7 linked regions of the Cricetulus griseus genome follow. The protein of the gene in region 7 interacts with the protein of the main gene of each other region in a pairwise test. Links are inferred from orthologs where the notes say so. Each region holds a gene or a part of one and is shown on either strand. Other genes may lie near its edges.

The links.
Region 1: the proteins of Dtnb (region 7) and Txlna interact in binary tests that used the Homo sapiens proteins (3 or more experiments, as listed by UniProt). The two-hybrid records come from large-scale screens. The link is inferred for Cricetulus griseus from reciprocal best matches to the Homo sapiens genes DTNB and TXLNA.
Region 2: the proteins of Dtnb (region 7) and Spz1 interact in binary tests that used the Homo sapiens proteins (3 or more experiments, as listed by UniProt). The two-hybrid records come from large-scale screens. The link is inferred for Cricetulus griseus from reciprocal best matches to the Homo sapiens genes DTNB and SPZ1.
Region 3: the proteins of Dtnb (region 7) and Cep63 interact in binary tests that used the Homo sapiens proteins (3 or more experiments, as listed by UniProt). The two-hybrid records come from large-scale screens. The link is inferred for Cricetulus griseus from reciprocal best matches to the Homo sapiens genes DTNB and CEP63.
Region 4: the proteins of Dtnb (region 7) and Sntg2 interact in binary tests that used the Homo sapiens proteins (3 or more experiments, as listed by UniProt). The link is inferred for Cricetulus griseus from reciprocal best matches to the Homo sapiens genes DTNB and SNTG2.
Region 5: the proteins of Dtnb (region 7) and Abi2 interact in binary tests that used the Homo sapiens proteins (3 or more experiments, as listed by UniProt). The link is inferred for Cricetulus griseus from reciprocal best matches to the Homo sapiens genes DTNB and ABI2.
Region 6: the proteins of Dtnb (region 7) and Ppfia1 interact in binary tests that used the Homo sapiens proteins (3 or more experiments, as listed by UniProt). The link is inferred for Cricetulus griseus from reciprocal best matches to the Homo sapiens genes DTNB and PPFIA1.

What each region holds. Positions count from the first base shown.
Region 1 is NC_048595.1:23,393,060-23,397,081, forward strand, and holds the start of Txlna (alpha-taxilin), read left to right. Parts: upstream 1-1,222; 5' UTR 1,223-1,340; exon of another isoform or gene 1,341-1,355; intron 1,356-1,889; 5' UTR 1,890-1,895; coding exon 1,896-2,061; intron 2,062-3,004; coding exon 3,005-3,343; intron 3,344-4,022. UniProt on the Homo sapiens protein: May be involved in intracellular vesicle traffic and potentially in calcium-dependent exocytosis in neuroendocrine cells.
Region 2 is NC_048595.1:311,346,326-311,349,308, forward strand, and holds Spz1 (spermatogenic leucine zipper protein 1), read right to left. Parts: upstream 1,650-2,983; coding exon 501-1,649; downstream 1-500. UniProt on the Homo sapiens protein: Transcription factor that binds to the DNA sequence 5'-CANNTG-3'(E box) and the G-box motif. May play an important role in the regulation of cell proliferation and differentiation during spermatogenesis.
Region 3 is NC_048597.1:210,823,446-210,826,945, forward strand, and holds part of Cep63 (centrosomal protein of 63 kDa), read right to left. Parts: intron 1,911-3,500; coding exon 1,705-1,910; intron 1,027-1,704; coding exon 747-1,026; intron 1-746. UniProt on the Homo sapiens protein: Required for normal spindle assembly.
Region 4 is NC_048600.1:32,272,781-32,276,280, forward strand, and holds part of Sntg2 (gamma-2-syntrophin), read right to left. Parts: intron 3,093-3,500; coding exon 3,021-3,092; intron 459-3,020; coding exon 252-458; intron 1-251. UniProt on the Homo sapiens protein: Adapter protein that binds to and probably organizes the subcellular localization of a variety of proteins. May link various receptors to the actin cytoskeleton and the dystrophin glycoprotein complex.
Region 5 is NC_048595.1:414,643,516-414,647,612, reverse strand, and holds the start of Abi2 (abl interactor 2), read right to left. Parts: upstream 2,801-4,097; 5' UTR 2,654-2,800; coding exon 2,537-2,653; intron 1-2,536. UniProt on the Homo sapiens protein: Regulator of actin cytoskeleton dynamics underlying cell motility and adhesion. Functions as a component of the WAVE complex, which activates actin nucleating machinery Arp2/3 to drive lamellipodia formation.
Region 6 is NC_048596.1:56,858,600-56,862,099, reverse strand, and holds part of Ppfia1 (liprin-alpha-1), read right to left. Parts: coding exon 3,326-3,500; intron 1-3,325. UniProt on the Homo sapiens protein: May regulate the disassembly of focal adhesions. May localize receptor-like tyrosine phosphatases type 2A at specific sites on the plasma membrane, possibly regulating their interaction with the extracellular environment and their association with substrates.
Region 7 is NC_048600.1:14,466,537-14,470,696, reverse strand, and holds the start of Dtnb (dystrobrevin beta), read right to left. Parts: upstream 2,801-4,160; 5' UTR 2,678-2,800; intron 1-2,677.

The sequences.
Region 1 (4,022 bases), on a different chromosome or scaffold from region 7:
ATGGAGTGGGAGTTCACCAAGTTGCCGGAAGCCAAACTCCCTCTGCTACAATCCCTTCCTGAGAGAGCTACTGCCAAGCTGGTGATGACAGAGGTGTCCAGTACACTGCCTCAGAGAAAGCCTGTGACGGCGATTATTTCTTCTGGGAAGAAAGTGGTTAAGATGGGTGCTGGTGTCAGGCTTCTGGCTTTGAATCTGCTATTACCACTCAATATTGATGCAGCCTTAGATTATATAACCTTTAGCTGGGCATGGTCGCCTTTGTCTTTAGTTCAAGACCAGTTTGATCCTCATAGGGAGCTCCAGGTCAGCCAAGGCTACACATAAGGAAACATTGTCTCCAACAGACAGCAAGCAATTAAAAAAGCCATCTCGCCTTTTCCATACTGTCCTATATTTCCTAGATCACAAAGTATCCTGTACTTTCTCCGAGTAATTATGAGGGCCAAGCTATTAGATACAAGAAGAGAAGACAGGGGCTAGAGAGATAGCTCAGAGGTTAAGAGCTCTTCCAAAGGTGCTGAGTTCAATTCCCAGCACCCACATGGTGGCTCACAACCATCTGCTATGAGATCTGGTGCCCTCTTCTCATGTGTAGATATACATGGAAGCAGAATGTTGTATACATAATAAATAAATAAAATCTTAAAAAAAAAAAAAGAATAAGAGAAGACAGTGACGCCGGGCTTTGGTGGCGCACGTCTTTAATCCCAGCACTTGGGAGGCAGAGGCAGGAGAGTTCGAAGCCAGCCTGGTCTCCAGGATGTGCCAGGATAGGCTCCAAAGCTACACAGAGAAACCCTGTCTCCAAAAACAAAACAAAAACAAAACCCCTCTGTTGGAATGGGGGGGGGGATAGAATGCCAGGCACATGACAAATTACTGGTTTAGGAGTGGAACAAAGGTCTCCTAATTCCCAGCTCAGCCTTCTATCCCTCTTCGAGTCCTCAGAGGTCCTAGAAACAGTCATACACGTCCACAGGGATCAATGGAGAAGCGTATGAAACAAACAGCCAAGCGCCAATCACAGCTTCTGCACTCGAAAGGATACTGACGGGAATCTCTAGACTGTACTGCAGAATTTCAGACCTGCAGCGGGTAGAGACCCTAAAAAGGGAGGCATCTCGGGAATTGTGCCCCGCCGCAATGCATGAAGGGACTCGTAGTTCGTTCCCGCTCACGACTCCAAAGCCACCTTGGCCTCGTCTTTCCCAGCAAGCTCCGCGCCAGCGTTAGCTCTTCATTGGCTGCGGCAGGAGCGGGCGGTCCTGCTGGCAGCGGTTACCCGGGTTTCCGGTGCCCGGCCAGAGCGGGGGACGCCATCGGACGTCCGTGGTGAGGTACGTCTGTTGGCGGTAGGTGGGACGAGCTCTTCTGAGGGTCTGTGGCCCAGCTTGCGTTGGCTGCAGAGGAATAACTAATTCCGTGCGGGGGTCTGTGGCGATGTCGCCGCCTTGCGCATGCGTCCGTGGGGCTAGAGGGCGCGCGGGGTGTGGGTGGCTTCCGCGCGGGCTGGCGGGCGGGCGGGCGCGCGCGCCCGGGGGTCCCACGTGGGGCCGGGCCGGGGGCCGGTGGGGGCTGGAGCGTCCCGCCACGTCATCGTGCGGCGGGGAGCCAATCCCGCGCTCGCGTTCCGAGAGGGAGCGGAGTGGTGCTGCTGGGAAGTGGCTTTCGGGAGAAAGGAGGCCTCTTCTTCACTCTCCTCAGGGCCAGCTCCTCCGACACCCTCCCTGCAGGGACCCTCGAGTCTCCGCCAAGGCCGGCCAGTTTGTTTGAAGCTTGGAGCGCCTGGCGTTGGGATTTCTGATCTAGGTTGTGAAATTTTTTGAAGTCTTGAAAATAGCAACTGTGTCGTCTTCAAAGGATCTACCCGTTTTCTGCCTTTGCAGATCACAATGAAGAACCAAGACAAAAAGAATGGGCCTGCCAAACACTCCAACCCGAAGAGCAGCCCCGGGCAACGGGAAGCGGCACCAGAGGGAGCCCAGGGACGGCCCAGACAGACAGCTCCTGCGGCGGAGGCTGAAGGTTCCACAAACCAGGCTCCTGGGAAGACCGAGGGTGTGTGCCTGCTCTGCTTTTCCAGTGGGCAGAGGGAGGAGTTTCTGGGACTGGCCTCGGTGCTGAGGCCAGTGTTTACCCAGGAAGGAGGAACTATGGAATGAAACAATACCCATTCTGTGTGGGTCTCGTGTTTCCCAGGCAGGTGATGAAGCTTCCCTCCCTTAGCCCTGGAATGGAACCTTGGGAGCATGCTCTGACTGGTTTAAATTAAATGACAACTGAGGCACCCCACAAACAAAGTCATGTTCCCAGAAAACACTTGCCAGTGTGTGGGGGGGGGGTAATTGTCCTTCATACTTGAGACATTTCTGGAACTATAAAAATAACCAAAAATGCGTTTTGAGTAGGAAAAAAAGGAATTAGAGGTGGAGTCTCTACTACATGCCACCCAACCCTGGTGTGGTGCTTTATCTACATAGTTGTCTTTTTTGTTTGGTTGTTTGGTTTTGTGTTTTTGAGACAGGGTTTCTCTGTGTAGCCCTGGCTGCCCTGGAACTCTGTAGACCAGGCTGGACTTGAACTCACAGAGATCCACCTGCCTCTGCTTCCCAAGTGCTGGGATCAAAGGCTAGCACTATTACTTCCCAGCCATAATTGTCTTTTATGGTCATAAGAAGTATGTTTGGGTGATAATAATTGTATCATTTTATAACAAAGTAAACTTAAGGTTTGAAAAAATTAAACTGAGGCTCGGCGTAGTGGCCCTCTCTTTTAGTCCTAGCTCTTGGGAGGCAGAGGCAGGTAGCTCTCTGACTTTGAGGGCAGCCTGGTCTACATAGTTCCGGGACAGTCAGGGCTCTGTAGAGAGATCGTGTCTCAACCAAATAAAACAACATTTATCCCAAACTAGTGTATTTGTCTAGGGTTAAAGAAAAAGAAAGTTCAAGCCAGGGATGTAACCATCTTATTTTCATTCTGTGTCCTAATCTTGTTGCTGTAGGGGCTCAAGCTAAAGCAGCCAAGTCTGGGCCCCTGTGTGATGTGTCTGAGGAGCTGAGCCGGCAGCTGGAAGACATTCTGAGTACATACTGTGTAGACAACAATCAGGGAGGCCCAGGCGAGGAGGGAGCACAGGGTGAGCCTACTGAGCCGGAAGATGCAGAGAAGTCCCGAACCTATGCAGCAAGGAATGGGGAGCCTGAACCAGGGATTCCAGTCATCAATGGCGAGAAGGAAACCTCCAAGGGGGAGCCAGGCTCAGAAGAGGTCCGAGCAAGTGATGAGGTTGGAGACCGAGACCACCGAAGGCCACAAGAAAAGAAGAAAGCCAAGGGTCTGGGTGAGAGGGCAGCTACTGGTGAGGGGAGGGAGTTAAGACCTGTCATTTCATGAGCTAGCCTGCTCTGTCAGAACTCAAAGGAATCTGCTTCTCAAAACAGAACATCCCCCAGTTTAGTCAAAGCCATGACTGTGGAGTAACAGCATTGAGCTGTTCAGATTGCTCACCTGGGCAAGGCCTCTTGTCCTTGGAAGCAAGTGAAGGCAACCTGCTCTTTTCCTGTGGACATGTTCATGCTCCACTCCTGGGTCTTAGTTTCCCTATTTAGAAAGCAACAAAATTGGGCTACACCAAGGTAAAGATCTCAAATGTCAACATTAACCAGGTAAACCATGAACCTCTTGAGAATGAAGAGAGGGTCTACTTTATCCAAAAAATTAACTTCTACCTGTTTAGTTCCCTGCCTTCCCCCCCTCCACCCCCCCCAGGGTTTCTCTGTGTAGCTTTGGAGCCTATCCTGGCACTCGCTCGGGAGACCAAGCTGGCCTCGAACTCACAGAGATCCACCTGCTTCTGCCTCCCGAGTGCTGGGATTAAAGGCGTGCGCCACCAATGCCCGGCTGAGTTCCTTGCTTTCTTTTCTTTTTTCTTTATTTTTAAATTTATTTACTTATTACATATACAGTATTCTGTCTGCATATTTGCCTGCATATCAGAAGAGGGCACCAGATCTCATTTA
Region 2 (2,983 bases), on a different chromosome or scaffold from region 7:
AAGTTGGATGGGTAGAGAGGTGGAAGAATTGGGAGGAGTTAGGAGAGGGTAAAACATTATCAAAATATATTGTATGAAAATGTTTTCAATTAAAGGAGTTTATAAGAAATACTTAAAATTCAGCCATGATAACAAAACTACATAAAAATATGCTTTAAAAAAAAAACTGGTTGTCTAGTGGTGCTTTAGGGGAGCTATTGCCAGGGAATGCCTCCTCTGGGAAAGGAAGTTAGTTTTCCTCAATGCACTAGTAAGTTATCTCCCCCAGATGCTGTTAAAGAAATAAAAATGAAAACAGTCAAACAACGTGCTTTCCTTTTGTTGTTTTTATTCCAATCTTCACTTGGTTGACATTCACAGAATGGTCTTAAGGTCCAAACTTTTCTAACTACTGAGGTAATATGAACCTCTTATTCTAGGGCTCTTTCTTGGTTGAAATAGAGGATCTACCCTAGGCTGATGACAGTTACTACTGAAGCTGGCTCTGCTTCTGATGGCTTTTACCGGAAGCTGCTATGGGTTCTCCTTTTCACCAGGAGAGTTTTTCTTCCAACGCGGGTGTTGCAGCGGTTATTCCGAGCCTTCTTTGTCAGACAAGCATCTGAGTTCCTGGAGATCTTTTCTTTCTTAGGATACGTGCCTTCCATTACCTTCGGGTTCTGCTTGTTACATTCCATCTTGTCTGCTTCCACGAACTTCTGATATTTCCTGTCCTGCAGATAGCATGGCCTCTCTTGCTGGGGTTCAGCTTCGTGGAGATGGAGCTCCCTGAGAATATCTACCCTTTGCTGTAGGATCTGACATTCGTTCTCCAGCAGGGCTGCGATCAAATGCAGCGAGTGCGTGTCATGGCTCAGCTTTTTTACCTGTGCCTCCAGCTCCTGTTTGGTTGACGGTTCGTTGTTGGCCTGGGTTTGGTAACAGATGTGATTGTTTTCAGAGGGTTCTCTCCTTTCTTTGTGGCTTTCCTGATACGACCTCATTAGATCACTGAGCTCGCGGTGTTGTATACTCCAGTGATCTGCTTCCTGCAGTAACTGCTCCATGTTGTTCCTGAGTCTTCTATATTCCCCATGAATGTGAAGGGATCCATACCGGCCTCTTTCTATGTTCAGATGCATGTCATCACAGCCTTTTTTCTCTTCTGAGTTGCATCGATCCCTTCTATGTGCTTGAATTGCGTTCTTAGCACTCTGGTTATGCAATATCATCTCCCGCCTCTTCTTCATGTTCTGTTCTTTCTCTAGTTGGAAATTAGTGAGCATATCTCTAAATCCCATTTTTTTTCTCCTATCAACACCTCTGATTTTAGGTTCTAACATATCCTCGGAAGTGCTGGCATCGTCAAAAGACTCCCTGACTTCTGTAGTCATCATCTCCTCATTGCCTGCTATACTTTTAAGAACATCTTTGACATCTTTTAAGAGATTGCTAAATTTCTGTACCAACCCTGTTCTTCCTAGTGGACGAATACTATCCTTTGGTGGTGGAAGGGAGCCCCAGCAGAAGGGGGGTAGTGATCCAATTTCAAGAAGGGAAATGGTGATCCCAGGATTTGCTGGTTCTGATAGTCCTTGCTTAATACAAGGAATAGAGTTAGGAGTTTGAGGTGAGGCAGGCATCTCAGATGAGCTGTCAGAACTGGCCATGAGGGCCCGAGGAAAGCAGAAAACCTTGGAGATTCCAGGAAGAACAGATGGCAGTCTCGTGTGAGTTGGTGGAGGAGATGGAACCAAGCAGGAGTTATGGACCAGAGTTAATGACTGAGACCAGGGAGGTGGTGTTCAGGTAGAAGGTGACATTTCAGACAGCCTAGGGGGAGGGGGTGGGAAGGGGGACCTGGAGCTTGGGCTCCATCTCCCTTCTGCTAGGCTTCTGGTATTGAGGACCTGGCAACTAGGTCTTTATTGTGTCATTGGCCCTCTAGGGCCTGTCCACACATTCTGTTTCTTTTGCATCACAATGGAAGTCTCCTAAATTCCTGACCACAGCTCAGACAACACAGCCAACCTTACTCAGAGATAAGACCTCTACAACACTCTTGCCCATCTCTTCTCTGCTAGGTGCTTCACCCTAAGGGCATTTCAGTATTTCCAACCTCACCCCCCACCCCCACCCTCACTATACCACTCTGTGGTATAGTGGCCAACCTAAACCACAGAGCCACCTAAGGGTATAGCTGAGAGAAACCTCATCAGGCCCTCACTCTGCCATGGAAGGGGGTGTTATTGCTCCTGCTACTATAAAAGAGTTAGGAATGCCTGGTGGTTTTGAATGGCCCCCATAGGCTCAAAGATTTGAATATTTTGTCACCAGGGAGTGGCACTATATGAATTAGGAGGTATGGTGTTGTTTGAGGAAGTGTGGCACCTAGGGTGGGCTTAGAAGTTTCAAAAAGCTCACTCCAAGTCCAGAGTCTCTCTCTTCCTGCTGCCTGCTGATCAGGGGGCAGAACTCTCAGCTACCATGTCTGCCCATGTGCTGCCATCCTTCCTGCCATGATGACAATGGACTGAACCTCTGAAACTGTAAGCAAGCCCCAATTAAATGCTGAACTTCCTACTCTTCCAGTCGGTGCTGTAAATTTGGTGATTTCTCTCAGTACCTGATTAAAACAACAATTTGTCTAAAATATTTGAAACAACTTGATCCAAAATGTTGCAGAAATGGAAAGCTCGCACTCAACCCTCATCCAACAAGCACCCTGAATAACCAGAATAGAATTATTCTGGAATAATAATTCCAGAAGCCAACATCAGCACAATGCTAGCATCTAAAGTAGTTAATAAAGTCAAGCCACTTAGTCATACTTAATAAAATCATCTGAGTCCTCCTGGGTTACCCAGTTCTTCTTCTGCTTCTGGATCACACTGTATTTCCTTGTCGTGTCTCCCTTCTTCCAGGACTTTCTTAATGGTGACCACAAATGTCTAATCAATTTCTAGGGTTACAAAATTTAGGTAAGAATGTCACAGAAGTGGAA
Region 3 (3,500 bases), on a different chromosome or scaffold from region 7:
ACTCTTCAGAAAAAGTGACATCCATAAAATTCACATATCATAAATCAGGAAAGGTGTGCTGCCAAACTTAGGAAAAAAGTCACTTCTCTAGGTGTTAAGTTGTTTGTTTGTTTGTTTACATGAAAGTAAAACATTCATTTTGAAAACTAAAGGGAAACCTTTCCATGGAATTGCTGACACATTTTAAAAATCATACTGAAACCTTCACAAGGATGTGACTACAGCTGACAACAGGCAATGAAATGGCCCAACACAAGTGCTTCCCTACAGAGGACAAAGAACAGTGGAGCCTAGTGGTGGGGGAACCAGCACAGAGTCACAGATAGCCTCTACTACCAGGGCCATCTCAGATACCCAAATGCCACTCTGCACACCTCAGATGCACTGCCGTCTGCCCTCTGCCACCAGCCCCTTCCCAACAGCCCCTTTTCCCTTATCACTGCCCATGCTTTGGAACTCTGCTGGCATCCAGAAACAGCCCTTGATGCAATCACTGCAACAGAGTCAGCCCTCTCTAGAAAAGGCAGGCAGGAAGGTGCAGGCTACTGTCAGTGAATACCTACACTCATTTCAGAACGTGAGTTTGAAGTCATGTTGGCTGAATGTGCCTTCATGAGTAAAACTGCATGGTGGAAATGTGTGAAAATAATAAAGGGTACTACTGATTGGGACCCAGTAAAACAAAACACCCTTTTCACCTTAAATTAAATATAAAAATAAATGTTAAGATTAGAACGTTTCCATACCGAAGATACAAACTCTTCTTGGTCATTCATACAGTCAGACAGGATGTCAGAAAAGTTGCCATCATTTATATCTAGCATTGAAGGCAAAGAGTGAGCATAGCATAGAAAGTTGGAAGGCAGAGACACGGTGGAGCTGTCAGGGCTGGTGTGAGGACTCATGGGGCTGGGGCCCCTGGCCATGGGTTCTATGCTATCCAACGTTTGTTCTCGAGGCGAGTGGTGACCTGTTTTGTACTGCTCAGTCTTTATTCCATCATGTCTGTGCTGGCCATGGGTTGGCCTGGATAGCAGATTAGAAAACAAAATAAATGAAAAATTGTAGCAAATTTTCTTTCCGATAAATGCTGAAAGAAGCATGCTCATCTGAACATTAAATAACAGGCTAGGTAGCAAGGTGCTGTCACTTAGAAACGAGCAGCCCATGTAAGGACAAGTGTTCCTCACTCATTCAAGCTCTGCTCTCATGCTTGCCCCATAGCAGAGGCCAAACAAGCTACCACAGTGATTCAGAGTGACCAGGCAGGACAGCCCCATGCCCAGAGAAGGCAGCCACATAATGTCACTGTGGGTGAGAGTGTCACCAAAGGCTTTTGATAGGAAAACACACTGAAGCCAGTGGCTTCTCATTGAATCTTTCTTACGGTAACAACCTGATATTAATTGACCAAAAATACAATGGACGCTTTTTATAATAAGCCAAGTTTTACTTCTTATGGAACAGGTGGGATAGAGGTGGTGGGAGGCAGCATGAAAACGCTCTGGGGAACAAATGGGGTTCACACCTATAAGCAGGGTGCACAGAACAAAAGCTGTAATGAAATGAAGGCCGAACCACCTGAGCCACTTGTGCACTCTGCAGTCAGAATTAAACCCAGAGCCTGTGATGACTGCACTTCTCAAAGCAGAGGAAATCACACGGCAGCACACACATGTCAAAGAGACTTTTAAGGAACTTTACTTAAACTCTGCGTTCTTGAACTCAGCTACTCTGCTGCGTGCTGGTTTAAAGATCCTGCCATCTTTTTTTGTACACACGTGAGTAGCATGCTCCAGCTGAGATTTGGTGTTCATCAGATCTTTCTGTAGTTGTTGATTTTCAGACACTAATTTATTTAATGCCTCAATATAATTCTCCTGAAGGTCTGTTAGTGAAATCTCTTTTGCCTAATAAAAAAAGAATACTAGAATCACTTGTATGTTTAAGGGTACTTATGATCAATCTGCAACGGTGTTGGCTGAAATAGTTCCTTTTCCAGTTTTATCTAATCTGTGGCTTTACCTAGAGAAAGTGAAGATTTGTCTTTAGCTGTGTTAAGATGAACACAAAGAAAGCATCAGTCTGCCTAGAGGGAAGGGAGGAGGAAATTGGGGGCAGGATGGCGTCCTCCTGTACTCGACATCAGGGGTAGAAACAGGGCAGAGGAAAGCTTCAAGAATCAGAGATAGGGGAGATCAAGAATATAATAGCCATGGCTCTTAAAGGAGAATGAGGGGCACCCTTTCCACCCCACCCCTACTCACACAGAATACCTGTGGAAGGAAATCAAAAGAACTGATTCAAAGAAAGTAATTTAAACACAAGACTCTAAAAAGAATTCTGCCCAAAGGGGTAGCTTTTAAATAAATACCCTCTCACCAAAAGCACTTTTTGGTACCTAGTTTTAAAAAGCTAGGCAACATAAAAGCAGGACTCAAGTATATAGCAGGAATTACTACTGTGATCTGGTCTAAGTTATATGATTACATATCTTATTTCTTGATAATACAGGTCTACTTTTTCTCATGAGAGATTTTAATTAGCATTCTATAAGATGATGGTGATCTTTACAGTTTAACATTTCATTTTCTGTAAAAAAAAAAAAAAAAAAAACTGTGAAAGCAAGCTGGTCGATAGTGATCTGATAAACATAATTTACCTGTCAAGTCACAAACATGTAAATGCACTTGTAAACTAGGAATTACAAGACCTTTCAGTAGTTGCCCATGGCTGACAACATCTCAGAGAGGAGTATTTGCAGGACATGCGGCTATACTGTCAACCACTACCCATCTTTGTATTTGTATACTACAAAGGGGCTACACTGTCCACTGCTACCTGTCTTTGTTTTTGCAGGGCATGGGCTGCACTGTCACCTGCTACCCATCTTTAAAGTAGCCAATATTCATGAAAACTGCTGCTTCATTAAAATAATTATAGATTAATTTGGAAAAGTAATCTCAGCTTCCTAGGTGATAACATGCAAAAAGCATTTCCTAATAGTTATGTTTTGACAATTTGTACAAGATATCCACACTATATGTAACTCTGGAACCACAGAAAGCTAAAACTGACAGGATTTTTACCACTTTGATGTCTTAAAAAAAATCATTAAACTAGCATTTCTCAACCGGTGGGCCATGATCTCCTTTGGCAAACCTCTAACTCTAAAAATATATTATGATTCCTAACAGTAGAAAAATTACAGTTGTGAAGTAGCAACAAATAATGTTATGGTTGGGGTCATTACAACATGACGAACTGTATTAAAGGGTCAAGGCATTGGAAAGGTTGAGAACCACTGCACATTCTTAAAAGATATATATAATACTGTCTTTCCCTGCATCTTTCTAGAATCTCCAAGACTTAGTGGTTTATTAACAACTACTCCAGGTACATAACTGGTAAAGGTAGCATAACAAATAGGTAGCAGGCATGTAGGCATGTACTTAGGGGAATAAAGAAAGATCAATGTTTCCACTAGGATTCAGGAGAAC
Region 4 (3,500 bases), about 18 Mb from region 7:
GCTCTCTTCTCACAATAAATATGAATGCACATATGAACTAGATGCAAGACCCTATGACAAACAGCTCTGCTTATTAATGAAGGCCCTGCTCATGATGGAAGGTTGCTTTGACATGGTGACTCGGATGAAAAACGTTCACCTCTCACGATTCACTTTCCTGAAATAAACCTTCATTGATACTCTATCCCCTAGGTGTCAAATGCTGCCTAAAAGCTGTTGTGAGAAAAGCATGAATCCCATACCATACTCACCCCAGTTCTCTGAACTTCCATGAAAGTTGCTCTTTGGAATGACTTCTCCCACACAGCCAGCTCACTGCCCAGCTCCACGCTGAAGTTGTGGCTCTTCCCATGGCTGGCCAGGACGCTAAAGCAGTATGGCCTGGGGTCTTCACAGTCAAAATCATGGAGACCCAGATAAAAGTTTGCCTGTAGCCAGTAGTTGTCCGAAAGCCAGAACTGAAAAAAAGTGTGGATTGGAAATGGGTCAGAATTGGAAAGTTGAGCCCAGACTACAGAACCCAGTCCACCATTTGGGAAGAGGGTTGCATTTGCCTGGTCTGGTGGAGGTCATCACTTCCTCACAACCACCAAATGGGACAAGTGCTTTAGCAACATTTCGGAACAATAGCTGAAACAAACAAACAAACAAATAATGCACTAGATATAGCCTGATGGTCCACCACAGACTCACCTGACTGTCCTGTCCCCACCAGACAACTGGCAGCTGCATCTTCCATCTGTGTTCCTGATGTACTTGTTTAGAAGCAGCAACACCCTCTGGGGATTTCCTCCTGTCAAGGTTAGCTACAGCGACCTGGATGCTGCCAGTTGTTACTACTTCCAGATGAAGGGTATGGAAGCAGGCAATAGGGAACACTGAGAGAAGGCTTTTTAATAGGCTCCTCCTCATACACAGCTATAGAAATGGCCCACAAAAGTATTGTACATAAGCTATGCCCAGACTCTGATTATTGGAGTTTAGCCTTTCCTCCTAAGAGACTGATAACTACTATATTTTACTTTTAAAGTTAAAAACGTAGAGATTTTTTTGTTTAGCACAAACCCAACAAGCTGAGAAAAGCCCACAGGAGTTTTTTTGGCCTACACTGATTCCTCAGAGGGCCTGGGTTTAGCATTTCTAAGGAGGAGTTCAGGCCCAGAGCTGTAGGATGGTGGCTGCTGTTTTAACTCCTGAGTTTGGAGGTGAATTGTTAGTCAATGATAGGTCTCTAGCTCAGAGACAAAGTGTGCTCTTGTTCTTTCTCTTTTTCAACCATGAATTGTAGTGAAGGAGTTCATAACTGGATGAATAAACATTAACTCGAGCAGGGCAAGGGAGAGACAGTACTTAGAATACTGAGCTAAGAGGTATAAATGAAGACCACTATCATCCTCATTAATAGATTCAGCACAGCAGCTATGTATTTAAACTGTCTTGCTCACAGTGCAAAGATGACAGGAAACTCTGATCACCAAGATACATCTAGCTTGGTATCTAATAACTCTACATAATTGGTACAATAAAATGTAGCTTATTTATAAAGACATGCTTCAGAACAGACTATGAGATGCTGAGCGGTAATTCACAGATCTGGCCACACAGCAACATTCCCAGGGACCTTTATGTAAAGAGAGCTTCGATGTGTGACTCATATGTCACAGCATGCAGAATTAGATCCTTTGCCTTGGGCGAAGCTCCCTCCAGATGACCACAATACAGAGAAGGTTGTGAATCCCTGCAGTGCACTTCCCTGGCCTTAAAGAGCTGGAAATTACAGTCCGTATCACAGGAGACATGAGGGATGTGGTGGTGGCACACCTAGAAAGCCTCTCCCCCCATTCCTGCAGGGGCCTGCCATCATCATGCCAGCTCTTGGTTAACAGAGGCAGGAGGGTTAGTCTAAGGCCACCCTCAAGTATAGACTGAATTTGAGACAAGCCTGAGCTACATAAGAGTCCAGTTTAAAAACCAAAAGACAAACAAAACAAACAAACAAAAGATAAAACAAAACCTCCAACAATATAACTAAGAGAATTCCCTCTGAAACCAAGATCCCAAATCTCAGTGACATCTTATGGGTCCAGTGGCGCACCTCATTTACAGTCTTGTTCATTATTCCCAGCATGTCACCACAGCAGTGGAAACAAAGGGCTCACAAAGACTCTTCCCAGGTAAGCCCATGTCCCTTACATTGGGTCCTTATCAGCAATGACACCTTCCCATTAAGGGAAACCTACTTCCTGCCTGTGGATCTGCTACACTGGAACTGTGCAATGCACTTGCCAATTTTGACAGCTTCATGTGACTACTGTGGATAACCACCCCCACCTTCATTATCTTTGAATACTTTCCTCTAATTGGTTAGAACTGCTTAACTCATCGTTCTGACCTGTCCAGTCCATGCTTAAATAAGAACTCCTTTTAGGCCACAAATCTGAATTTGATTACAAAAGGATTCCTCAACAGGGCTGAGTTGGTGGCTTAGCAGGTAAGAGTGATTGCTGCACATGCATGAGGACCCGAGTTCAAATCCCCCATATGTGTAGAAAATCCAGGATGACCCTGTATATTTGGAACCCCAGTGCAGTTAAGGGCAGAGAGAGGAGGGTTGCTGGAGCTTGCTATAGGCCTACTTCCAGGTTTAATGAAAGACTCTGTTTTAAGGGAATAAGGTGGAAGAAACAAGAAGAAAGCTAACATACCCTCCTTGTCTCTGCATGTTCAAGAATGTGGCTACTAACACACACACACACACACACACACACACACACACACACACACACACACACACTACCACCACCATCCATTTTCCACCCAAAAAACATCCATCCCTTCATCATTCAGCATTCATCCATCCATCCATCCATCCATCCATCCATCCATCCATCCATCCATCCATCTATCTCAACAATCAATAAGATGATAAAATAACTGGTCTGGAACAAATATCCCTCAATGAGCATATTGCTCCTCCCACTCTGTCATCTAAGGGGCATCCAAATGCCAAGGATACTCACCTTGTGAACTTTAAACAGCACCTCACAGAGGTTATAGGCACGTTCTGCTCGTCCCCAATCCAGTGTGCTTACCTGTGGGAGACAGACAGACACATTTGTGTAGGAAGAGGAAGCCCCTTCAGATTAGAGCTCTAGCACTTACATCATGGAGTGATTCTGCATGTCTCACTTAGATGCTAAATTTCCCTTGCCCTGGGTGACAGTAAACTTTATAGTCTGGTTTGTATTCTGATTCTGTGTCTTCCTCTAGTGTGCAATGGGGATACAAAGGATATTCTATTGAGACATGCACTGGTAATACGAGAACTTTATACTCCTGGGGATAATTTTAGGGATCCATTTTTGGATCATCTGCCAATTAAATTTTAGTTTAAATGCAGAAAAAGAAAACCATGCATGTGAGATAGTGTGACCAGCAGACACACTGTTGACCAGCTGTCTATTATTTAGCACTAAACTCTCTAGACATTTCTGCTTCAG
Region 5 (4,097 bases), on a different chromosome or scaffold from region 7:
CAGACAGCATCAGGACCCCTGCTGGTCAGTTCTTGAGTCAAATGTACAGCTGGGTCAGCACAAATCAACTATCACCAGTTCTAGTTATCATGTAAGAAGTGTCACCTGGGAGAGCACAACTGTAATAAATCCAGTGATTCCCACAATAGAGGACAACCTAAGCAATCAAAGTACAAACTCTACTTCAGGTGCTAAATTGAAAACAGATGATTCAAAATTCAAAATCCATTTCTAGGAAATTATTATTTGTGCTTTTACCGTGGGCTCAGAGTATAATTCAGGTAGAGTATATTTTTAACACGCACAAGACCCTAAACTCAATCCCCAACACCAAAAATAAGTACGTAAATAACATACCAATTTTGACACTTCTCTTTCAGCTAGAATTATAAAATTTAAGACAAATGCTGATTTTACACTTTTCCACTAGATCAATTCATGTATGCTTCCCTTTATGTGGCAATTATAATCTAACATAGTAGCATTAATCTTCCAAAGACAGACAAACCTGTTTCTTATTAGTCGGCTACAACTACAATCCTATCACTTTTCCATCCCCCAGTTTCTCTTCTGACAGACACTTTCCCACAATATGCTACATGAGGCAACAGAATTAGCACTTTTAGGTTTGCCTCTCCTAGCAGCTGTGAATCCCTGAAAATAAGCAAAACCTCCCTACCCACAATCCACTACAAAGTATAAATTAACTATACTTGACTTTTCCCTCAGTATCCAATAGGGATCAGTTCTAGAACACCCCCCACACCAACACCACAGCCCCATCCCAACATCTCTGGATACTCAAGTCCTTTACATAAAACTGCATATTTACATGTTATCCATAACACATCCTCCTCCATATTTTAAATCTACAGGTTACCTACAATACCTAATAAAATGTAAATGCCCATTAAGTGTTAACACTATCTTTTAGGGAAAGACAAGAAAAACGTCTCTTTGCATTTATACAGAGGGAGTATTTTCACTGATCAATTTATTGAATCACAAATGTAGGACCCTCCAACAAGAAGGGCTGACGATATATAGTACTAATATGGGTTTAATTCGCTCACAGATCAGCCTCTTGAACTACATTATAAACCCCTGAAGACTTTAGGAGTGTACCATCAACAGTTCTGGGCCAAAGAAGACTGGTGAAGCTAAGCAATAAAACCTTTTAACTCCTACACAGCTCTGTATTAGCAAGTATCTTAGGGTTTTGATTTGTTTTTAAATCAATCTGTAACCAAAGTCACACTTTCTTCCTACTGAACACACATTTTCAACTCCTTCTTTGAAGGGAAAAGGATTCCATTATGTCAGATTCATTCCCCAACACAAATGTTTGCAACAGTAGTAGAGTTCAGTACATGTGTAATCAATGAAAAACCTAATGACATTATCTCTGATTAACCATGTGGTCCCCAGAAAACTTATGAACCTATAAATTATAGAATTTTTAATATATACAATTCATACTAACTACTGAGAATGCTTTCCAATATAACTGGTTACGATAAGGGTATCTGCAGAGATGGGAGTAGGAACAAGAATGTTTAAAAAGGGCTAACAGCTTAACACCCTGCTTCCACTTTATCCAGAGAACATAAACGAGGCACAACCCAAAATTCCGTATATGCCCTACGGAAAACAAGAGATACTGGATTTGAAAATCATTAGTTAATTTTTAAAGCGTTGTTTTAACCCATAAGATTTTTAACATTCATCCATGACCAGCTGGTTCTCATCTCACCAATGTCTTTCCCCCACCTTCTCACCTTCCTACACACACCCACTATGAGTCCCGGTGCCAAAGCAATCATCATGGGAAAAAAACTAAGGTTCATTTTCGTAAATCTTTGTGAAAAATAGTCATAGTTCTTTTTCCCATAGGAAAATGACCTATTCTAACGGGGATTGGGGAGGAAAAGCAGCCCATCATCGGGCAGTTCCCCATTCTCTGTATTGAGAAAAATGCCATTAACTTGTAATAAGGGACGCCGTCCCACTGTGTCCCCTTTACAACCTTAAAAAAAAAAAATTAAACTTAAGGGTTAAGTATTTTTGTTTTGTCTTCAGGGGACATTCCCAGGAAGGGAAAACCGAAGCAATTCACTTTGCAGGAACTGGACCCCTTAAAAGCCCCTGGGAATTGGGCAGGAGGTAACATATCCCTCTATCACACACAACCCGGCCATCCGAGCAGCATTCCGTTATCTACAAAATGCCACTCGCCACCTCCTCCGCCGCCGCCCGGAACCCTGACAGGCGAAGAGTGCGGGGGCAAAGGGGCAGCGATGAGGAGGCGGGCCGCCACACACGCACGCACCGCACCGCGGACCCGCACGGGGCTTCTGGGGCGTTCCGCCGAGCCCGCTTCCTCCCGCCGCCGCCGCCGCCGCCGCCGCCCTCGCCCGTCCCCACCCCGGCGCGGCTCCCCGGGCCGAGCACCGCGCGGCCTCCTCAGGCGGCGGCGCCCCGCGCGCCCCGCACACTCCCGCGACCTGACGCGCTCAGCCGGGGGGACGCGACGCACCTGGATGTAGTTGTTCTCGCAGTAGTCGGCCACCCGCTCCAGATTCGTGTAGCTGTCGAAGAGGGCCCGGCGGCCCCCCGGGATTTCCTCTTCCAGCAGCATCTGCAGCTCCGCCATCTTCACATCCTCCTCCTCCTCCGCCTCCTCATACAGCCCGCAGAGGCAGCGGCCGCGACGCCTGAGAGAGGAGGAGCAGCGGCGAGCGCGGCGGGAATCGGGAGGAGCGAGCGGCACCCCCAGCGCGCGGCGGGGAGGGCGGGAGGGGGCGGGGGACGGAGGCGGGGGCGCGAGCCGGCGAGAGCCGCGAGGACGGTCACCGCGGCGACGGGCGGGCGGGCAGCGCGGGCACGCGCACGCGCGCTCCCCTCCCTCCCTCCGCCCCCGGGCTCCCGAAAAAGATTCCCACCCGCGCCGCCCCTCCCCCACTTCCGGCGTCTCCTAGCGACGGCAGGCGGGGGCCGGGATGCGCGCGGGAGCCGGGCTCCGGGTTAACCCTTCGGCCCCGCGCGGGCTTCCCGGCTCTGGAAGTCCCTCCGCTGCCTTTGTTAGCCCGGCGGGAATGCGCCGCCGCCGCCCCCATCCTTCACCTCGGTGCTATCCGCCCGAGGAAGCTCTCCAGGCCCCTCCGGAGGCCTAGGGAGGGCACGTTCACTCACACACCCTCTGTGAGAGGTCACACTTCATCAGGGCAGCCAGAGCCACTGAACTTCCAGGTAGCTCTAAATGCCACCTTGGACCTCATCCTCTCCTTTACAAAGTAAATTGCAGTCACCTAATCCCAAATCTGTTCATCATTCATTCATTCACTCATTCATTCATTCGTATTCCAGGTCTCCCTCTCTCCTATCTTTTTTGCAAAGTCTCCCCGAAGTAGACCAGGCTGGCTGAAATTACAAGTATATGTATGCTGTGGTTGCCCAGACTGGAGCTCCTCCTCTTTCTTGACTTTTTTTTCCCAAATTTTCGATGGTGGTTTTGCTGGTACTAATTTCATTATTCATATGGTTTGGGCATGAATAAAATTAAATGAGCGCACATTGAAAGATGTTTAATTAATACAATTCAAGGTAGTTCAACCTGATCTTGCTTGTAATCCAGATGTCAAATCTTTTTTCATAAATATGATTACCCCACATGGTGAAACTTGAAAAAAATAAAATAAAACTGGCATCTTCTGAGATATTGAGGTCACTTTTATTTGTTCTGTGGAAAACCCAAAGGGTACCATCTTAGAGGGTAGTTCAGGATTTGTGGCTTCAGCCTTTTATTGCTCTTGCGGTCACTGGCCCTTCTGCAATCAGTTTTCAGATGGATGAGGAAACAATTATACATTCCTTAAAAAAAAATAAAATGCATACCATCACACATTTGTGGAGTAAACCCTGTGTTGTTTCATTAGCTTTTGATAAATACTTTACCAATATGTGTGAACTTTTGTTCCAGAGCCCAAAACACTATTTTTAAATGTTGATGTGGTCCAGCTGGATCTATTCTTAACTGCTTTAGACACCTGTCTCAGTGTGAATGTTCTCCAAGTGTGTGAGAAGCTTAATTAAAAACA
Region 6 (3,500 bases), on a different chromosome or scaffold from region 7:
ACTGTTCATTTGGTTGAGTATTGAGAGGTAAGTCCTACTTTGTATTCCAGTCTGTCCTGGAACTCATGACTTTCCTGTTGTGCATGGCATAAGCACTGTTTGAGCAGAACAGGTGAGTCACTTTTTTTTTTTTTTTTAACTTAAAAGAGAAGGCAACCAACCACAGCACCAACATGGCAACACTCATTGGCAAATTCATCAGTGGCAGGTGGGGATGGAAGCCATGACTGCTCCAGTGCAGCCAGCAAGGAAGGTTGACAGGGCAGGGCTCCTGGGCTGGAGCATGGAAGATAATAGGTAGCATGTCTAAGTCAACCACCAAAACACCTACTGCCAGCTCTTCCCAACTCTGCCCAACATGCTGCACTTGTACCAATTTCTAGGTACTGTCAGGGAATCAGGGCAGCTGGTAAAAGGCCCAGGAGCAAAGTGACCACCAGCAGCCAGGCGTTGATAGTGCATGCCTTTGATCCCAGCACTGAAAAGGCAGAGGTAGGTGGATCTCAGTGAGTTCGAAACCAGCCTGGTCTACAAGAGCTAGTTCCAGGACAGCCTCCAAAGCCACAGAAAAACCCTGTCTTGGGGGAAGAAAAGAAAAGAAAAAAAAAAAGTGACCACCAGCTCAGCTTTTGAACTAAGGCAGGCCTGAACACACACCTGTAACCCAACACCATGAGACAGAAGCTTCAGCTTCCACACTGATAAATGGAGTAACTGCGGTGACCTGTATCCCACACGGATGCATGCAAGAGTTTAAGACAATGGTTCCAGTGCTTGGGAAGCTGAGGCAAGAGGACTAGTGTGAGTTCAAGGCTGTCCTAGGCCATCCAGCAAGTTCCAGGACAGTCTGAGCTATAGAGAAAGACCTTGTCTCAAAGAAACAAAATTGTTAAGAATAAATAAAAAGACAATGCCTTGGTCACACAGTAGGCCCATGGTGGGCATGGGGATGAGTGCACTGTGCATCAGCCCCAGCCTTCCCCAGAGCGCACCCCTGCAACTCTGCCTCAGGAACTCTTGTTCTCAATTCTGAACAACAGAAAAGCATGCAATAATTAGACACAGATGCTTCTGCCCCAGTATTTCAGGGACAGGCTTCCCACATGACCATCAACATGACATGCAGGGTCAAACTAAACACTGCTGGGAAATATCAGTTACTTCTCATCACATTACAGTAGTTGTGTCACTCATGGAGATACAGAGTGTATAAGGGTCAACATGTGATTTACCTGTCTCCGGTGCTTCCTTAAGTCACTAGGCTGACAGATGCATGTGAAGAAACGAGAGAGAGAGCAGGTTTACTGTACACATTGGGGAAAAGACTCAAGGAACAGTGAGACAATTGATAAGCAGGGCCAGGACACGCACAGGTTGAACACTGAGAGGAAACAACACTGGAAATAAACATTCTCAAGACAGTTAAAAAGTATGCAGATTTCCCAGGAGGCAACACTTAGTTAAGACTGAGTTTCAACACAGGCAATGCATTAAAACCCAGCATTCCTTGTAAGAAAGGACTCTAATGACCCTCACTCGAAACCAGCCTCTCTGTTGCTAGTTGTAAACACACTGGAATTTAAGAACTCCATCAGGAGCTGTTACATTATCTATTATAAAGTCAAACCAGCCTTGAGTTAACAACCTACTGGATATTAACCTAAAATCCTTACCTAGAATTTGATTTAAAACTTTTCAAAAATAAGCTGATTGTTTAAGGCAGTAAGAGCAACTCTCCCTGCTCCTGTGAAAAGCTCCAAGAAAACCTAGTGGGGTTACAGGGAGAGCCTCTAGGCCTTACAGTGTGCACAGTATTAAATGTAAGAGTTTATCAAAGACAGCAAGTCTGTCAGCAGGTAGCTGAAAGCCGAGTGACACCAGAACCAGAAGGGGCTGTGTCTGGGCTTCCATCAGTACCACACAAGGTAGGTCACCTGGACATACAGGACACTCCCTTGTAGAATCACAGACTTTCCTCCCTGTGTCCACATGCAGGAAACACAAGTAACAGAGAATGCATTCTTAACATGAAAAAGAGCCAACAATTACATTTTTTTTTGTTTGAGAGAGGACCTCTCTACATAGCTTTGGCTGTCCTGGAACTCAATCTGTAGACCAGGCTGGCCTCGAATTCACAGAGATGTGCCTGCCTCTGCCTCCAAAATGCTGGGATTAAAGGTATGTGCCACCACCGGCCAACAACAATGCATTCCTCAAGCATACTGCAGATGTACACTTGGGTGCTTGGGGGGTGGGGCTGTCACAGCATAAGGTGTCAGATGGGCAGACAGACAGGGATCTGGGATGGGGATCAGGCAGAAGTAGACTGACAGCAGTAAGTCAGTCTTAAGCTGAGAAAAACACACAGCTATTCCTACAAAGTGTTTGGAAGGAGGATGAAGCCACAGACCATGCCATGAAAGTTAGGACCTTACCCCCTGCACTAATGACAGGTATTACACAGTGCATCAAAATACAAGAGACTATACTATTCAACAGCTCATTAAAATGATTCCACTGAATTAGTTACATGCCCACTGCCAGCGTCATGGAAACTACAAATGAAAGCAGCAGCAAAAGAGATGCAGCATGGCAGGGTAGCTAGGATATAGACTGAGTCCAAGTTTAGTATGTAGGCTCTTAGGATCAATCACATGCTAAATCCTCAACAGTCACTAGAAATTCTGAGATCCACACACTTGGGGCATAGAATTTCTGAGACAAAAGTGCTCCCAAGCTAACCAGTCAAGATGCCCATCTCTTTCAGCTCGTAATCCACAGGTCTCCTGAGTGGCCCTTGTGACTCTGAGCTTAGAGACACCCCTGCTGTGAGGGCTAAGGGACTCCTTCATACTTTTTTTTTTTTTTTTTTTTTTTTTTTTAAATTTCTGAAGATGGAAGCCAAGCCTGGCACAGGCTAAGCAGTGCTCATCCCACCATTGGCCTCCACCCCAGGCTCCCTGCATGTCTTCCCACATGCTACAACACCTCTCCAGTCATTTCTGTTCAAACAGGAAGCATAGCCCCTTCTGGCTTGCACCAGACCCCTGCCTAGCACCCCATAATTAAGTGTAACATGCTGGTTTGGTCATCTAAGTATTATAATTAATTTGCATTGTTGACTAAATACTAGTTAACTTAAAAAAAAAAAAAGACAGGGTTTCACTATATAGTCCTGGCTAACCCGATTCACTATGTAGACCAGGCTAGACTCAAAAGAAATCACCTGCCTCTGTCTCCACCCCTTCTGGAACCTCTTGGATGAAGATGTGACTTCCATGTGTAACCCTTCACCAGTAGGCTGAAGTAGAAAAGGCCCACTTACCAGAGTCATGACACCCAGCCTGTCCACCTCCCGGGCTGGACTGTGAGGGACCCTTCTCGGTGTGGACCGACCACTGCCTGGAGGAGAAGAGCCAGCAATCGAGGAAGCAGGGTAGGCGGGGATGGAGCTCATTGATCTAAAACGACCAAGATTATCCAAGCTTCCACTGCCCACT
Region 7 (4,160 bases):
CCAAGTGGGTTTTTTTTTTTTATCTGAGTATCTTATAACCAAGTATGCATTATGAGCTACTTGAACTACTGAAGTCCAAGAGCTGCCAGGCACAGAGACTCCAACGCAAATGATACCCCTAAAACTGGACAGCATACAACCAGAAACCACAGCTCTAATGTATATGTAATTTGAAATAAGTAAAATGGGGTGGGCTGTCCTCAAAGATAGCATGAGTTAATCTTCTGGTGATACAAATGTATATATTTTGATTGGGATAGTTTACACAGTTATATATGGTTTTCCTTTGTTTTTGTTTTCTTTGCAGAGGGCTTTTGTTACTGTTTCCCTTTTGATTTTACTTTCTGTTGAAACAGTCTCCCCATGTAACCCTGGCTAGCCTTAAACTCACAGTGATCAGCTTGCCTCTGCCTCCAGAGACCGGGATTTAGACATGTGCCACCACACCCAACAATATGTATGGTTTTTTAAAACATCCAATTCAACATGTAAAATCTGCCCCTTTTATCATATGCTAACTATGTATCAAGAAGGAACAGTAGCGCACACCTGTAATCCCAGCACACATGGGCAGGAGGATAACTACAAGCTCAAAGTCAGTCAGGGCAACATAGAGAAGACCTCTATCTTAAAAACAAAATCACAAAAAAAGTTTGTTTTAACCATGCAGGGTGGTTCACTCAGGAGACTGAGGAGATGGCCACAAATTCAAGGTCAGCCTATATCCTTGGCTACAGTATATTGAGTACCAGGCCAGCTGGGTTCAGCAAGACACTGTTTCAAAAGGGAGGGGGCACTGATTTTGAAATAAGTGTAAATTAAGCATCTAGAAAATATTAGGAAAGCCTGAAACCAAGGTACCAAAAATTACAGAGCCACGTAGACACCCCAAAACAAAACTTACTATAAACTTAAAGGTTGCATGCTCACTAACATGAAATAAAAGTGTTGCTTCAAGGCTCACTATATATTCAACGCCAAATTTGTACTGATATTACTTTCATTAGATGAGGAACTAAGGCTCAGATATGTTAACACTGAAGACATGAAATAAATGGTAACTGGAAATCTCATGAACTCTAGTATTTTAACTCCAAGTAGAAATTCTGTCTTCCGGGAAAAATTATTGAACATCATGACACCGCCAGCACCACCTTGACTTCACAACCTCCTTCAGAGGCAGTTCCACTTATGTCTGATAAAAATCCTCAGAGAACTCATAAAAGGTCAAGTTTTAATTTGGCAAGCAAAGTAACCCAACAAGCACTGCAAGCCAGAGGAAGGGAACAGCAGCCTGGGGCTGGAGAGTCCAACACCCTGGAAGGTGGAGGACGGAACTCCTGCCCTTACAGGACTGACCAGACATTCTCTCACCTCAGCATTCTGTCACCTCAGAGCCCAGACCCAAGAGGCAGAATAGAAACTACAAGTGTTCGTAGCAAAAGCATACTCCATCCTCAAAAAAGCATAACAAAAACAAACAAAAAGCCAATGAGAGAAGGACCAGAACCGGATCTCAAGAGACCACCCAAAGAGCAAGCGCCTGGTACCCAACATGCAAGAACCACGTGGATGTAAAAGACTGGCCACAAGCCACCGGAGTCTGCCACCCAGGCCACTGTTTTAACCTACCCAGTGCCTAAAACCCTGGCTACCCGAGGCAAAAAGACGATCTGAGGCCCAAAGAAGTCCACCAACCACCCCTAACTCTAGAGAGGCAGACACTACTCCATATAAAATGTATCAAACCCCTGCTTCCTCCAACACTCATTCAGTGGACATCAATTCTAAGACTACTGGGATCCAGGCCACATCCTGAGGACTAAGCTTAACTCTAGTTGAGAAGGCAAGGTTCTCTTTAAATTTTCCTTTCCCTCTCTTTTAAATGTCACTAAGACCCTTCCAATCTCTTCTCAATAACTCCCACCAGCTTCCCTTGAGTAGCCTACTTTCTCCACAAACCAAGCAACTTAGGGATCTTTTTTCCCATGGTTTCCCATGGAAAAAAGACTAAAGAGGCTGAAATGACCAGGACAAGAGACGAGAAATTGAGCGCTTTACATTTTATATGCATACTTTCACGGCCCAACTGTCAGCACTTGAGCAGCAAATGATGGCTGGGAGTGACTGAGTCGTGACCCCGGGGCTGACCGCGCTTGTCTCCTGCTCCGTAGCTAATCAATAAACGCTTTGCAGAGAATGCTGGAAGGTCTCCCTGATTCCCCAAGGCCTGGCACGGGGAATGTAACCGTAAGCATTCGGCAGCCGCATCCTCCCGTCTCTTCTCGGGACACTATACCCATCAAGGGTGACCTGGGTGGACAGGTTCGTCTACCGGGAGACACCGAGGGGGCGATCTGGAATGAATTCCCTTCCCTCTGCCAGGGCCTGCCTGCCTCACCTGCCCTCTGCCAGGACCTGCCGCCTTCGCCCCCTTCAGCACCTAACCCGGAGCCTCCTCCCCGCAAGCCGGGCTCCCGCTGCATCAGCAGGCGCGCGCAGCCCGGCTCTGCGCCCCGCCGCCACCGTGCGCGCGGGTGGCCGGAGGACCCCCCCTTCCTCTCTCCCTCCCCGGCCCGGCGTGCCGTCTCCCAAGGGTCGCAGCTCCACGGCCGCGCGCTCCGCCACCCCGCAGGCTCCCTCCTCGCTCCTCCAGCCCGGGCGGAGGACTCCCCACCTGGCTCACTTCCCGGCCGGAGCTGAGGGGGCGTCGCGTGGCTCTCCGGCGGCCGCAGCCTCCTCCGGCCCGGCCCCCTCGACTTGAGGCGGCTGAAGCAGCTGCAGCGGCTGAGGCGACGGCGCCCACTCAGGCCCCGGAGCCGCCCCCACGGCGAACGTTCCCGGCGCCGGCTCGCGCCGCTTCCCCCGCCCGGCACGCGCAGCGAGCCCGCCCCCGGCGCGAGGGCGCGAGGCGCGAGGGCGAGGGCGGGTGCGCGCGGAGGGCCGGCGGGCGGGCGCGCGAGGGGCGGGGCTTCCGCCACGAGAGGGGGCGGGGAGGCGGCCGCGTGCCCTCCCGCGGGTTCGCGCGCCCCCTCCGGGCCTCTGCGGTGCGCGGGCGGCGGAGGCGGAGGCGCGCTTCCACTCCACAGGTAGCTGCCCGGCGGCTGGATGCTGCGCCGACGTGACTGCACCGTAAGGAATGCCAAGAAACACCCGGTGAATGATTCACCCGCGCCTCGAGCGCGGGCTCCTGCCCCGGGTGACTTTCCACATTGACTCAGCAGGCTCACTGAGCACTGACTCCGCGTCTGGTGCGCCGTGGACATGCTCTGGGTCACAGGCCCCTAGGCCCCAGGAGCGCGTAACTCAGGGGGAAGAGCAGCCTTGCGAGGACCGAGTCCGGTCACCTGCGAATAGCCAAGCCACAGCCGGATGCTGTGAGAGGATAAGGGGGAACAGATTACTTCCGCTTAGCTGCGCGGTAGTTCCTGAAAGTGGGAACGTTTCGACTTGCTAAAAACAGCTTGGGCAAAGGAGCAGGGGCCGGTCAGTTCATAGTACCATTTTTAAAAAGGATTGATGTTTTTATGTTATGTGTATAAGTGTTTGGCCTACAAGTATGTGTGTTCATCACACACGTGCGCCCCCCCCCCCCGGGAGACCAGCAGAGTGAATTGGATCCCCTGGAACTGTGAGCTGCCCTGTGGGTGCTGGAAAATCGAACCCAGGTCCTCTAATAACATCAAAGTGCTCTTTAACTGCTGAGCTATCTCTCCAGCCCCTTATATGTTTCTTGGTTGGTATTTTTTCCAAGATAAGGTTTTAGTGTAACAGCCCAATCAGTCCTGGAACTCTCTTTGGAGACCAGGCTGGCCTTGAACTTCGAGAGATCCACCTTCTGTCTCCTGGGCACTGGGATTAAAGGCATGCTCCAACATGCCTGACCTCATGGTCCCATTTTTTTTTAATAGAATCCTTTCCAAACTCTTTAGGAACAGCTAAGTCTTTTTTGTTGGTGGTGGTTTTTTGTTTTTGTTTTTCGAGACAGGGTTTCTCTGTATTGCTTTGGAGCCTATCCTGGCACTCGCTCTGTAGACCAGGCTGGCCTCAAACTCACAGAGATCCACCTGCCTCTGCCTCCTGAGTGCTGGGATTAAAGGCATGAGCCACCAACGCCCAGCAGCTAAGTCTTCTTTTAATGACTCAAAGGGTCATTTCTC